Linked DNA regions of Coturnix japonica. The protein of the gene in region 1 purifies or fractionates together with the protein of each later gene. This does not show direct contact. Links are inferred from orthologs where the notes say so. Each region holds a gene or a part of one and is shown on either strand. Other genes may lie near its edges.

Region 1 (3,652 bases):
AAAGCACCTTTCCCAATGAAAAGAGAGCAGAGAAGGCAGTATTTGTCAGTCAGAATGGAGCTCTCCTACCTAAAATTTGTCCTTAAGCAATCCTGTAAGAAATGGTTGATGCTTGGTAATGGTTTGCCCATCATGTTCCTGCTGAGGAAGTGAGCAGTGATGCTGATGTTGTTCTAAGTGCCCTCATCAGCAATATCATGATATCACAGAATGACCTGGGAAGGGGGGATGTGAACTCTCAACAATTTCCTTTTATTTTGTTTAGCAGGGTTTGTGCTTTAAGTATATTGACGTGCAAATTTGTTTTGATACACAGGCCCAGCACAGGGACACCTTCATTGAAGAACGCTATGGAAAGTACAACATCAGTGATCCATTAATGGCTTTGCAGAGAGATTTTGAGGCCCTGAAAGAGGCGAATCATGGCGAAAAGCAGCCAGTGTGCTCCAACCCCTTATCCATCCTGAAGGTGGTGATGAAACACTGCAAGAATATGCAGGAAAGAATGTTATCCCAACTAGCTGCTGCAGAAAGCAGGCACAGAAAGGTACGTTTTGCTTCTAATAAGCTACACAGAGGTGGATAGCTGCCTTTTGAAGTTATGTTGGTTTCGATAACAACACTGAAATGCTTGGATTTTGGTGACTGAAAGGGCTGTGCACCTTCATGTGAGCTACTTGTCACTCTATGATGCAACTGGGAGGCTCAGCAACTGTAGTGATAACATTGAGGTTTCTATTAGAGGACATGCAGAAGGAATTACCTTGCCCAGAACCAAGAGATGTAGTTGCAAATGTAAGAGAATAGCTGGGTGGTTGAATTCTGAGCAGACATATCACTGTTCCCTATGATCATCAAGGATCTGGTACCACCTACTTATGGGAGAGTGCCTCCTATAAGATGAGCTTTCCTAACACAGTGTGACGTGGCCAAAGCTGCTTTTCATGCTGTTTGGTCTCTTTAATAACTCACTTGTACATGAATGTACCTTGAATGAGTTGTCATCAGTGATGTTCAATCAGGCTTCTTCCCATAGGCTTGCCCATCTAGCACACCTTAGTTTGTTAGAGGAGGATAAAGCCACAGTGTATAGAACTCAAAGACCCACTACAAAGTACTTTCTTCTTTTATCTACTTAGCTCTTAAAAAACAAACACACAAATCCCTCTGTTTACATGGTGTTATCTCCAGCACCTGCACTGCAGTGCTGTGTCTCAGCCTCTTCACATAGAATGGCCTGGGTTGCAAAGGACCTCAATGCTCATCCAGTTCCAACCCCCTGCTATGTGCAGGGTCACCAACCAGCAGCCCAGGCTGCCCAGAGCCACATCCAGCCTGGCCTTGAATGCCTGCAGGGATGGGGCATCCACAGCCTCCTTGGGCAACCTGTTCCATTGGGTTACATACTGAGAAGCAGCTGGGATTTTGCTTTTACTCGCATCAGAGTAAGCTTTTACAGTGCCAAATTTAAGTCTTATTTTTAGCTACTGTTTTGATGGGGATATGGCAGAGCAAGGTTCTTTCAGTCTGTGAGGAGCGTGAAGCATTTCTGATGCAGAAATCACTCACAGTGATATGAGCTGCCAGCTGGGCTTCCCATCAGTGTGCTGAGTGCTGGCAGCTGGAGCTTTCAACTGCCCATTGGTGTGCTGGGAGTCATGGGAAGCATGATGTGTGTCACCTTTCAGACAAGAATCTAGCTAAATATTCACAGGAAAATCAGATTTCACCCCCCCCCCCCCCTCTTTTCCTCTAATAAAAAGGTTCCCTGTGTACTTGAAAGATATACAAGCATTGTTTGGAAGCCTAAATTGCAGGAAGACTGAGAAGCTGCTGTAAATTCCTGGTCGCTGTTTTTTGGAAGGCCTGGAGGTCTGCAGGGTGATGCAAACTCACCCAAGAGACTCCACCATATTTGGCTTTCTTTTTGTTGAGCTAATAGAATTTCAGTTGTTCTAGATCAGCATAGAAACTGAAGGAGCTCCTTAACCGGGTCCTTATGGCAAGCGGTTTCATTTCAAGAGCTCATCTCATTCTTAAGTGGAAGAAGAAATGAATGTTCTTTAAAATAAACTTTGCTCCGCAGCCCTCAAATGGAGCAATCTGTCTGCAAATTGCAGCCTGTTGTGCCACGTGCTCTGCTCCTGTTGGCTTTGTTAGAGGTGCAGACAGGAGGTGACAGGTAAGGTGCAGCCAGTAGTGACAGATAACACAGTGGTGGCTCTTTTGTATAAGCTAACTGCAGTGTGGGTGCAGGTCTCTGTGTTTTGTTCAGCATGTGAGCACAGCAGGGCACTGTGGTGACCAGTGTTTGCTTGGCAGGTGATCCTGGACCTGGAGGAGGAGAGGCAGCGACATGCCCAGGACACAGCAGAGGGGGATGATGTCACCTACATGCTGGAGAAGGAACGGGAACGACTCACCCAGCAGGTACAGCTCACTGCCCAGCCCGTGGTTCCATGCAGCTTCAGTTGGTTTGCTGAGGCCAGATCACACCTCAGTGTCAAAAGAATATCATGAGCCTCACACCTTTGTGAGTCCCTCTGAGTTATTATCATTTCAATAGGAAAAACAGATGTAGTTTTCTGGTAAGCTGTTCATAAATGAGTGCTTTGTAATCTTACTTCAGACCAAAATCTGTGCAGTTCTGAAGAGCCCAGAGCCCTGCTCACAAGTGATGATGCTTTCTAGTACTTAAAAATGAGAATAAATCATGAAAGGTCTCCTAAGGGGGTTGTTGAGAGATTATAATAAATATTTAAGCTGCTATTTTCTGTTACTGAAGCACTGTGGGCTTTAATAAACATAAATAACACATCAGCATTTTAAAGGCTAAATGCTTCTAAAAGGCAAACTGACAAAGCAGTAGATGGGGTGGAAGGAAGATTTGCTTCAGATCAGTGCGTGCCAGCTGCGTGTAGCTTAATGCCAACTGAATTTCATGTGCTAGTAAGTAATAATCCATAATGTACATGAACAGAGCTCCTTATTGTACAAGGCTGTCCCACAGACACCAGGGGAAGGGCTTCTTTATTCACCTTAGGCATAGCCATCTTTTTCTGGGCAGTATTTCCAACGTGTGTTGTAAACCCTTTTGCTTTTGGGTTGTTATGCTTTGTGGAGGCGTTGTGCTTCCCATACAGCCTTTCTTTGCTCCTCTCTTCCAGCTGGAGTTTGAAAGATCCCAGGTTAAGAAGTTTGAGAAAGAACAGAAGAAACTCTCGAGTCAATTGGAGGAGGAGAGGGCACGCCACAAGCAGCTGTCCTCCATGCTTGTTGTAGAGTGCAAGAAAGCCACTGCCAAAGCAGCAGAAGAGAGTCAGAAGACGGCAGAACTGAGCTTGAAACTGGAAAAAGAGAAGAGCAAGGTGAGTAAGCTGGAGGAGGAGCTGGCATCCAAGAGGAAGCGGGGCTTACAGATGGAAGCACAAGTAGAAAAGCAGCTTTCGGAGTTTGACATCGAAAGAGAGCAGCTGAAAGCCAAGCTGAACAGGGAAGAGAACCGTACAAAAGCACTGAAAGAAGAAGTGGAATCGTTGAAGAAAGCCCTGAAAGAGCTGGAGGCTGCTTGCCAGGAGCATGGTCCTGCTGAGCCTTCACAGCCAAGTCTCTCTGTGATGTCCAGAGGGGTTGCTACTGACAGCCCTGCCAT
Region 2 (3,652 bases), on another chromosome or scaffold:
CTGTAAGTCTTAAAATAAGAAAAAAGCATGTATTTAAATCTTAGTAAACAATACCTCAGAGACCAAGCTGAATTATTACCAAAGCAAACAGAAGATGCTGCCTCTACCTATAGGACCTTCCATCTCCAATGGCAGGCATCTCACTGAAAACAGTTATCTGATATCCAGAAAAACCAAAGACTTGCAGAAGAAATGTTATGCTACCCAAACTGTGCGAACAGTATTTCCAGTTGTGATTCACTACTTTTTGTATAACCGCTAGCCTCAGAGTAGGAAACACACAGCACTTAAGCAGAACTGAAAATGAGTTCAGAGGTTAAAAAAAGTTTAGAGAACCAGCACATAGCCTGACTTAAGCATTAACCTTTAGCTTCAAACAGTTTTCTTTAAAGAAGCCAATGCAAAACACAGAGAACAAAGCTAGATGGAGAGATTAAATTGTGAAAATTAACTTACGAATCAGAACCATCGGAATCGCTTTCGTCACTACTATGTCCCTCTGCTTTCCATCTCTTGAACCTATCAATTAGTTCTGTCAGGTATGAAGTCTTCTTGGCATTTTTCATAATGAATTTGTGCTTCAGGAGTTCTTTTGCTGTAGGGCGCTGTGGAAAAAAACCCAAACCACTGGAATATTTAATGTTACGCTAGCATTTTGTGACTATAAATGTTAGTGGGGAAGATGCGGCACAACAACAGACTCTCGGTCCTAACTTATACAGCATCAGGAAATTAGTAGAAACAGGAAGTCAAAAAAAGCCAGTAATCCACATTTACAAGCACTCTAAAAATATGATCAAGTCACACAGACTATATTGCTTACTCTCCTATGCTAGAAAGTACACACCCAGGAAAATGACTAATCAAGTTTCTCCAATGCATTTCCTTGTAAGCAGCATTCAGACAGAAAACAAAAGTTCTACCAGGGAAGAGATCGAGGATTCCTCTGTGAGGTTTCTCTTCTGACATTATCCTAGCTTTGCATCCATTTCTGGGAGCTGCCTCTGCCATCACTTCCTTTGTTATTCCTCCTCCTTCCATTACTTTAAACAAAAGAGGCTTGGGTGGAGAGAACTACTAAAAAGCACTGTTGCTATTTGCAGTCAAAATTAGCCTCTAAAATTATTTTAGTCAACTCTGATGCACTACATCAGCAAAAGACTTCACAAGCATGCATTAAAAATAGAGACGTGAGCATCTCTACACACATTACAAACATACACACACACTTATCTACTCACAAACGTTGGATCCTTATTCAGACACGCATCGATGAATTCTTTAAAAGGTTTACTGAATTCTCCTAATAAAGTTGGAGGATTGTTTTTTGGAATGAGAAACAGAACTCTCATTGGATGCATATCGGAGTTGGGTGGCTCCCCCTTGGCTAATTCAATAGCAGTGATTCCCAATGACCAGATGTCAGCCTGAGAAACAGAAAAAATACTTTCAGTACAAAGCTGAATGCCATCACAACACTGTATTTAGTAACCGAAATCTGCATCAATATAATAGAATCAGTTTTAGTACCAGTAGATAAACACACAAGGACTGTTTTTATACCCCAAGGCTATTACTCCTGAAGGCACATAAGTGATTTAATCAGTCTTTAATAACTTTGACTAATGAATACAGCATCATGTTGTTGCTAAATTCATAAGGTTGTTAGGGAAGAAAGCTAGGAAATGACCAGCAACTCCAATTAGACCTGAAACATCAAGTTGGAAGCACAAGTTCCTAAAGAATCATGAAGTGATACTGATTCTACCTAAAAGATGAATTTTATTAATGTCTTACAAGCTATGAAATCTTTCAGTGTAAAGACTTCTCCCAAGTGAAACATACATTCTTTGCACTATTTTTAGATGAGTTACGAGTGCTATTAAAAATCACTCTGAGCATTTCTCATTAAAAACTGCCTAAGAATGATTTAACTACACTTGGCAAAGCTTTAACCCAAAGCTGCCCACGTAATAAAGTGTTACAAGTTGCATCTCTACAATATTCCTTTCCTCTTTACAAGAAGAACTAAAATAACTATAAATCTATAAATACTGAAGACTTAAACTACCTCATTGTTTGTTACTGAAATAGCATAACTAACAACTGTAGACTAGAAATCAGTGTATTCTGTCCTAATACCTTCATCTGTTGTACCCAAAGGCTTAGAAAGAAAGGGGAAAGGGTACAGCTCGTGCAACAACATTGAAGAGACAAGGAAGACAAGGTTGCTGCAGAATGTAAATGAATGGGTGGTACAGCTGACACAGGAAAACCTGGAGATGAATTATTTAAACTTGGATTGGAGAACATACTTTTAAAACAAGGTAGAATGCTTTCCCAAAATGCCACAGAATGAGAATTCCAGTTGTAATGCTGAAACCCTACACATGAAAACTACAGCTGAATGTACAAACTCCTTACTATCATCCCTGATCTGGCTCTGGGAAAGACCTCTGTGGATCTTTAAAACATCTCAGATACTGAGCAGGTTTTTTTTTTATTAAGTATAGTTACAGACTTACTATCTAAGAAAAACAGTACAAAAGGTACTTCGTATGTGCCAAGAAGTTTAGCTTTCTGGATGCATGTAAAGTGTGGAAAATCTAATGCCAGCACTAAAATACACTGTCATTTCACTCACCCTATGCTCTATAGTACCCGGTGGGCATACACACAAGAGAAAAGGGACTACTCCCTCCTTATCATCACTTTTTAATCAGCAGCTCTAAACTCTCAGAAAAAACAAAGCAAGGGAACAGGGGTGGTGTTTTCTACTATAGTTATAAGCAGTAGATTTTTGTAATTTAAAATCAATTTTATTTTTTTTATAGAATTAGAAAGACAAAAAACAAAGCCATTTATGTTAGATCAGCAGATAGAGAGATCCTCTACATTCATACTTACTTTGGAATCGTATGCTGACTGCTGAATAACTTCAGGGGCCATCCAAAACGGAGTTCCAACAAAGGTATTCCTCTTAATTTGTGTGTCTGTCAACTGCCCAGCAACTCCAAAATCAGCAAGCTTAACGTCACCTTGCTCTGATAACAAGACGTTGGCAGCTGCCAAGGGGCAATAACACAACGTTAAGTCAGAATGCTGTTCTTACTTTTAAGGACTTTAAAAAAAAAAAAAAGAGATGCATTTGAAGTGAACCTTTTATATCCCTGTGAATCTTCTTCTCTGAGTGCAGGTAGTCAAGACCTTTCAGGATTTCCTTTAGCATAGTAGCTATCTGGAACTCATCGAAAGGGCCAGCACGAAGCTTTAGAGAAAACACACAGGAAAATAATTCTAGTCATATCTAATTTCTGGCCTTATTATTGATTTAAATAAATCTTAAACTTGAAAGAGTTTAAATTTAAAGATATTACAGAATCCATAATGTGAAGATTCAATTAAGTAGCTTAATATCCTATCAGGAAAAAGATGTCATTAGAATAACCATCTTCACACCTCCTCTACGGATAATACATTACAAATTCCATTACTTTGCTATACAGTACACGCTCCCCTCAGCATGCAGCACATAAGAAAAGCTAGAAATTCCCAATAAGTTTTATGCTCTTATCAAACCCAGCAGACCCAATACTGCATTTAAAATGAGTGCTTTAAGAAACTATTTCAATAAGACTTTTTTTTAAAGTTG
Region 3 (3,652 bases), on another chromosome or scaffold:
ACCAGCGTTTGCTGTCCTGTTCTGCAGACGGCACTGTACGTTTATGGAAAGCTACAGAAGTTGCTCCAGCTCTCAGTGTATTTAATGATAATCAAGGTATGGAATTTTAAGTTCATTAGCTTAACTGTTCAGACTACCATAATCTTGACTACTGAGTAGAAATCCTTTCTTGTTTGTTTACTGGATTTTATACTGTTATGATTGTTTAGAAGAGCAGTAGATTTTGGATTTTGACACCAGCCATTATTGATAAATACACACAGGCGGACAGTCACACATACCTAAAAACTATGTGTTGTAGGTTACTTGCTGATATTGCTGGATCCAGAGTATAATGTAGCTGTTCCATAGTTCAAATTCAAAGTGAGTTTCCATTAGGCCCTTGCAACTGGTTTGTCAAGAATAAAAAACCCTTTCTTACCCCCAGAGAGGTTTGAAATAGCCAGTGCTTAGGTCCAGCTCAGCATCCTAGCACCTTTCCAGTTGAGGTTCCTAGTGCTTCTGACAGAGATTGCTACTTTCAATGAATTCATGAATTTTTGAATGAACTAAAAAGCAATAATCTAGTCATCCTAAATGCTGTTAGTTGAAAAAATTTAGTCATTAGGGTTTAATTACTGAAATGTAATGCGCGTTCCAAAATCCTGTTATTTAGAGCCTCGCTTCTCGAAGTTGCTGTTTGAGTAATTGCTCTAGGGTAGCTACTGACATTGTCATCTTAAGAACTATCAACTTAGAGCTGATAGTTCTAAAAGCAACCCATGAACCAAGGCTCTTTCTTGGTTCTTCAGAACAACTTCAAGATAAAATGAATGTTAATGTAATGAATTGATTTTCTGAATTGTGATATAAAGTTGATCAGATGTTCCATTACTTGTTTGTTAAATAGCTGAAGCAAAATATAAACGTTTCATGTAGTTTCATTTTGGCAGAGCTGTGTTTCCAAAGGTCAGCAGGGTTCTATCAGAGTCATGGTTAATCTGTGGTTGACTTTACTGTGGTATCCATAGATACTTTACAACATTCCTGAGTACACAACTAGTGTGTACAAGTGAGGTGTTTTTCCCGTGAGTCTTTAGAGTGGTGATAGTATTCTTGCTTTGTCTGGATCCATGGACATTAGATTACTTAATATTCAGTATCACACTCAACCTGGATTTTTAGATAGCATCCCACACAACATTCTTGTCTCTAAATTGGAGACACATGGACTTGATAACTGGATCACTCAATGGATAAGGAATTGGCTGGATTGTTCTAGTCAACAGTGTGATGTCTAAGTGGAGACTGGTGATGAGTGGTGTTCTTCAGAGGTAAGCACTGGGACCAGTGCTAATAGACATCTTTGTCTGTGATGTGGACAGTTGGATTGAGTGCATCTTCGCCAGGATTGCTGATGACAGCAAGCTGTGTAGTGCGGTTGATATGCAGGAGGTAAGGAAGGGATACTATCTGGAAAGACCTGGACAGACTTGAAAGGAAGGACAGTATGAACCTCATAAAGTTCAACAGGGGCAAATGCAAGGTGCTGTACCTTGCAACACAGAAGTATACAGAAGAACTGTATCCTGGGCTGCATCAAAAGAGGACCAGCAGGATGTGGGAGGTGACTGTCCCTTTCCACTCTGCTCTTGTGAGATTCCATTCACAGTACTGCATTCAGCACTTTGGCCCCCAGCACTGAGAAGGGCATGGATCTGTTGGATCATCTACAAGAATGATCAGAGGGCTGTGGAGCAGCTTTCCTATAAAGGCAGGCTGAAATGGTCAGAGTTATTCAGCCTGAAAAAGGGAGGGCTTTGGAGGGAGACCTTATAGCAGCCTTCCTTTTCCTAAAGGGGGCCTACAGGAAAGCTGGAGAGAGGATCTATTTACCAGGGAGTGTAGAGATGGGACAAGGGTATAGATACATGTTAGGTGTAAGGAAGAAATGATTGTGATAGTGGTGAGGCTCTGAAACAGGATGACTGGAGAAGCTATGGATGTCTCATCAAGGCCAGGTTGGCTGGGTCCCTGGGCAACTTGATCTATTAGATGATGTCCCTGCCCCTAGGAGTGGGGCTGGGACTGGATTGTATTTATGGTCCCTTTCAACCCAAACCATTCTATGATTTTACCTCTTCCTCCTCCTGCTCCTGACATCTGTTGGAGAAGGTGTTGTTCTTTCATCTAGTTGGCAGGGAAAAGTACATTTGAGGACAGAAATTTTATGGGATGTTTCTCGTACTCAAACTCTGCTGATCTGGCTTTCTGTCCTGTAGAGTTGTAATAGCCAGTGTGTAAAGTCATCTGATATATAATAGGCAGGACAGAAAAAGTTATGTAATGTGAGGTTTTTAATGTACTTACGTAACTTTCCATGCTGATAGTTTCAGCATGTAAAATTTACATTTGGAAAGCTTTGGGGTTTTTTTTAAGCTCTGAAGTTGTCCAGTTTAGTAGCAACTTAAAATCATCTGTCATGTAAATGATTTTGCCGTTTTGATATTATGTCCCCGCACTGAAGGTTTGGCTGAATTTTTTTCTTGCACTTAAAGAAAGAAGAGGGGCAGGGCAGGTGGAGCTTGTGAGGTTCTTACTTTCCAACATGATTCAAATTAGATTTCAGTCCAGCCTCAGTTCCAGATAGAACATCTCAATAAAGAATGTTGAAATGCATATCAGAAAAATAGGTTTAAAGTGGTGATCACTCAAGACCATCAATTTGGATTGTCATAATGTAGATTTTAAAATGTAACATTTCATGATCATGACTCTTTAAATATCAGAGTACATGGTGTTCTTTTCCTATTTTTTTTTACACAGTCTGCTGCTTATGAAAATGTTCTCTGCATTGTTTTCTAGAAATGGGAATCCCCTCCTCAGTTGATCTTGTGAGCAGTGACCCAAGCCTCATGGTAGCATCCTTTAACACTGGACACACTAGCATTTTTAACATGGAGACACGGCAACGAATTCTTACCCTGGAGTCTGGAGTAGATAATAGTATGTATTCAATACAGAAAAAAATTGCTTGATGGAGATCAAATACTGTTAATAGTCTTTTCAGTGTTTCCAAGCAATTAGGCAAACGGTGTATCCTAGTAACTTGCATCATGTATTATGTTAAACATTATGTTTTAAGATGTAGGAGTAAATTGTTATTATTATAATAGAGCAAGAAGCTCTTTAGTAGAAGAGCAAACATAGCTTTGAAAGAAGGTAGAAGAGCTGCAGATACTGTAATTTATTCCTTAAGGAACAGTGGTAGAAGGACAAGAACAAAATTTCCAAAGTTTTTTTTAATCAGGATTTTCCATTTTCTCTTTAGTCCAGAATTGCAAATTAGAGATAATATCAGACAAATCTCAAGTGTAAGTTGTGACAAATTTGTGAAAGTATAGGGCAAGTTCTACCTTTTTCATTAGCAGTACTGGCTCATTTTCTGTTAGGCTTTGTTTGAAGTCTTCACTGAAGAAAATGAGCAGAGCTCACAAGCTCCTTCATAATGCTTTGGATCATGGCAGTGTTCCCCATCATTAAGAGAGGGGCCAAAATGAGCTAAAGCATGAGACTTCATGTGTGAGTCAAAATGGAAACCTGAAATCTATAGAAATGTTCAGTCTTTTTTAAAACTTTGATAGTTTTTTTTTCAGCTAAAACTTTTATGTTA

The links.
Region 2: the proteins of CTTNBP2NL (region 1) and STK26 purify together in Homo sapiens (affinity purification with mass spectrometry; 4 studies listed by BioGRID and IntAct, with this or other methods). This does not show direct contact. The link is inferred for Coturnix japonica from reciprocal best matches to the Homo sapiens genes CTTNBP2NL and STK26.
Region 3: the proteins of CTTNBP2NL (region 1) and STRN purify together in Homo sapiens (affinity purification with mass spectrometry; 5 studies listed by BioGRID and IntAct, with this or other methods). This does not show direct contact. The link is inferred for Coturnix japonica from reciprocal best matches to the Homo sapiens genes CTTNBP2NL and STRN.

The regions. Positions count from the first base shown.
Region 1 is NC_029541.1:3,554,777-3,558,428, forward strand, and holds part of CTTNBP2NL (CTTNBP2 N-terminal-like protein), read left to right. Parts: intron 1-316; coding exon 317-547; intron 548-2,322; coding exon 2,323-2,430; intron 2,431-3,167; coding exon 3,168-3,652. UniProt on the Homo sapiens protein: Regulates lamellipodial actin dynamics in a CTTN-dependent manner. Associates with core striatin-interacting phosphatase and kinase (STRIPAK) complex to form CTTNBP2NL-STRIPAK complexes.
Region 2 is NC_029519.1:3,361,100-3,364,751, reverse strand, and holds part of STK26 (serine/threonine-protein kinase 26), read right to left. Parts: intron 3,269-3,652; coding exon 3,160-3,268; intron 3,066-3,159; coding exon 2,908-3,065; intron 1,428-2,907; coding exon 1,242-1,427; intron 606-1,241; coding exon 457-605; intron 1-456. UniProt on the Homo sapiens protein: Serine/threonine-protein kinase that acts as a mediator of cell growth. Modulates apoptosis. In association with STK24 negatively regulates Golgi reorientation in polarized cell migration upon RHO activation.
Region 3 is NC_029518.1:28,891,464-28,895,115, forward strand, and holds part of STRN (striatin), read left to right. Parts: coding exon 1-96; intron 97-2,844; coding exon 2,845-2,985; intron 2,986-3,652. UniProt on the Homo sapiens protein: Calmodulin-binding scaffolding protein which is the center of the striatin-interacting phosphatase and kinase (STRIPAK) complexes.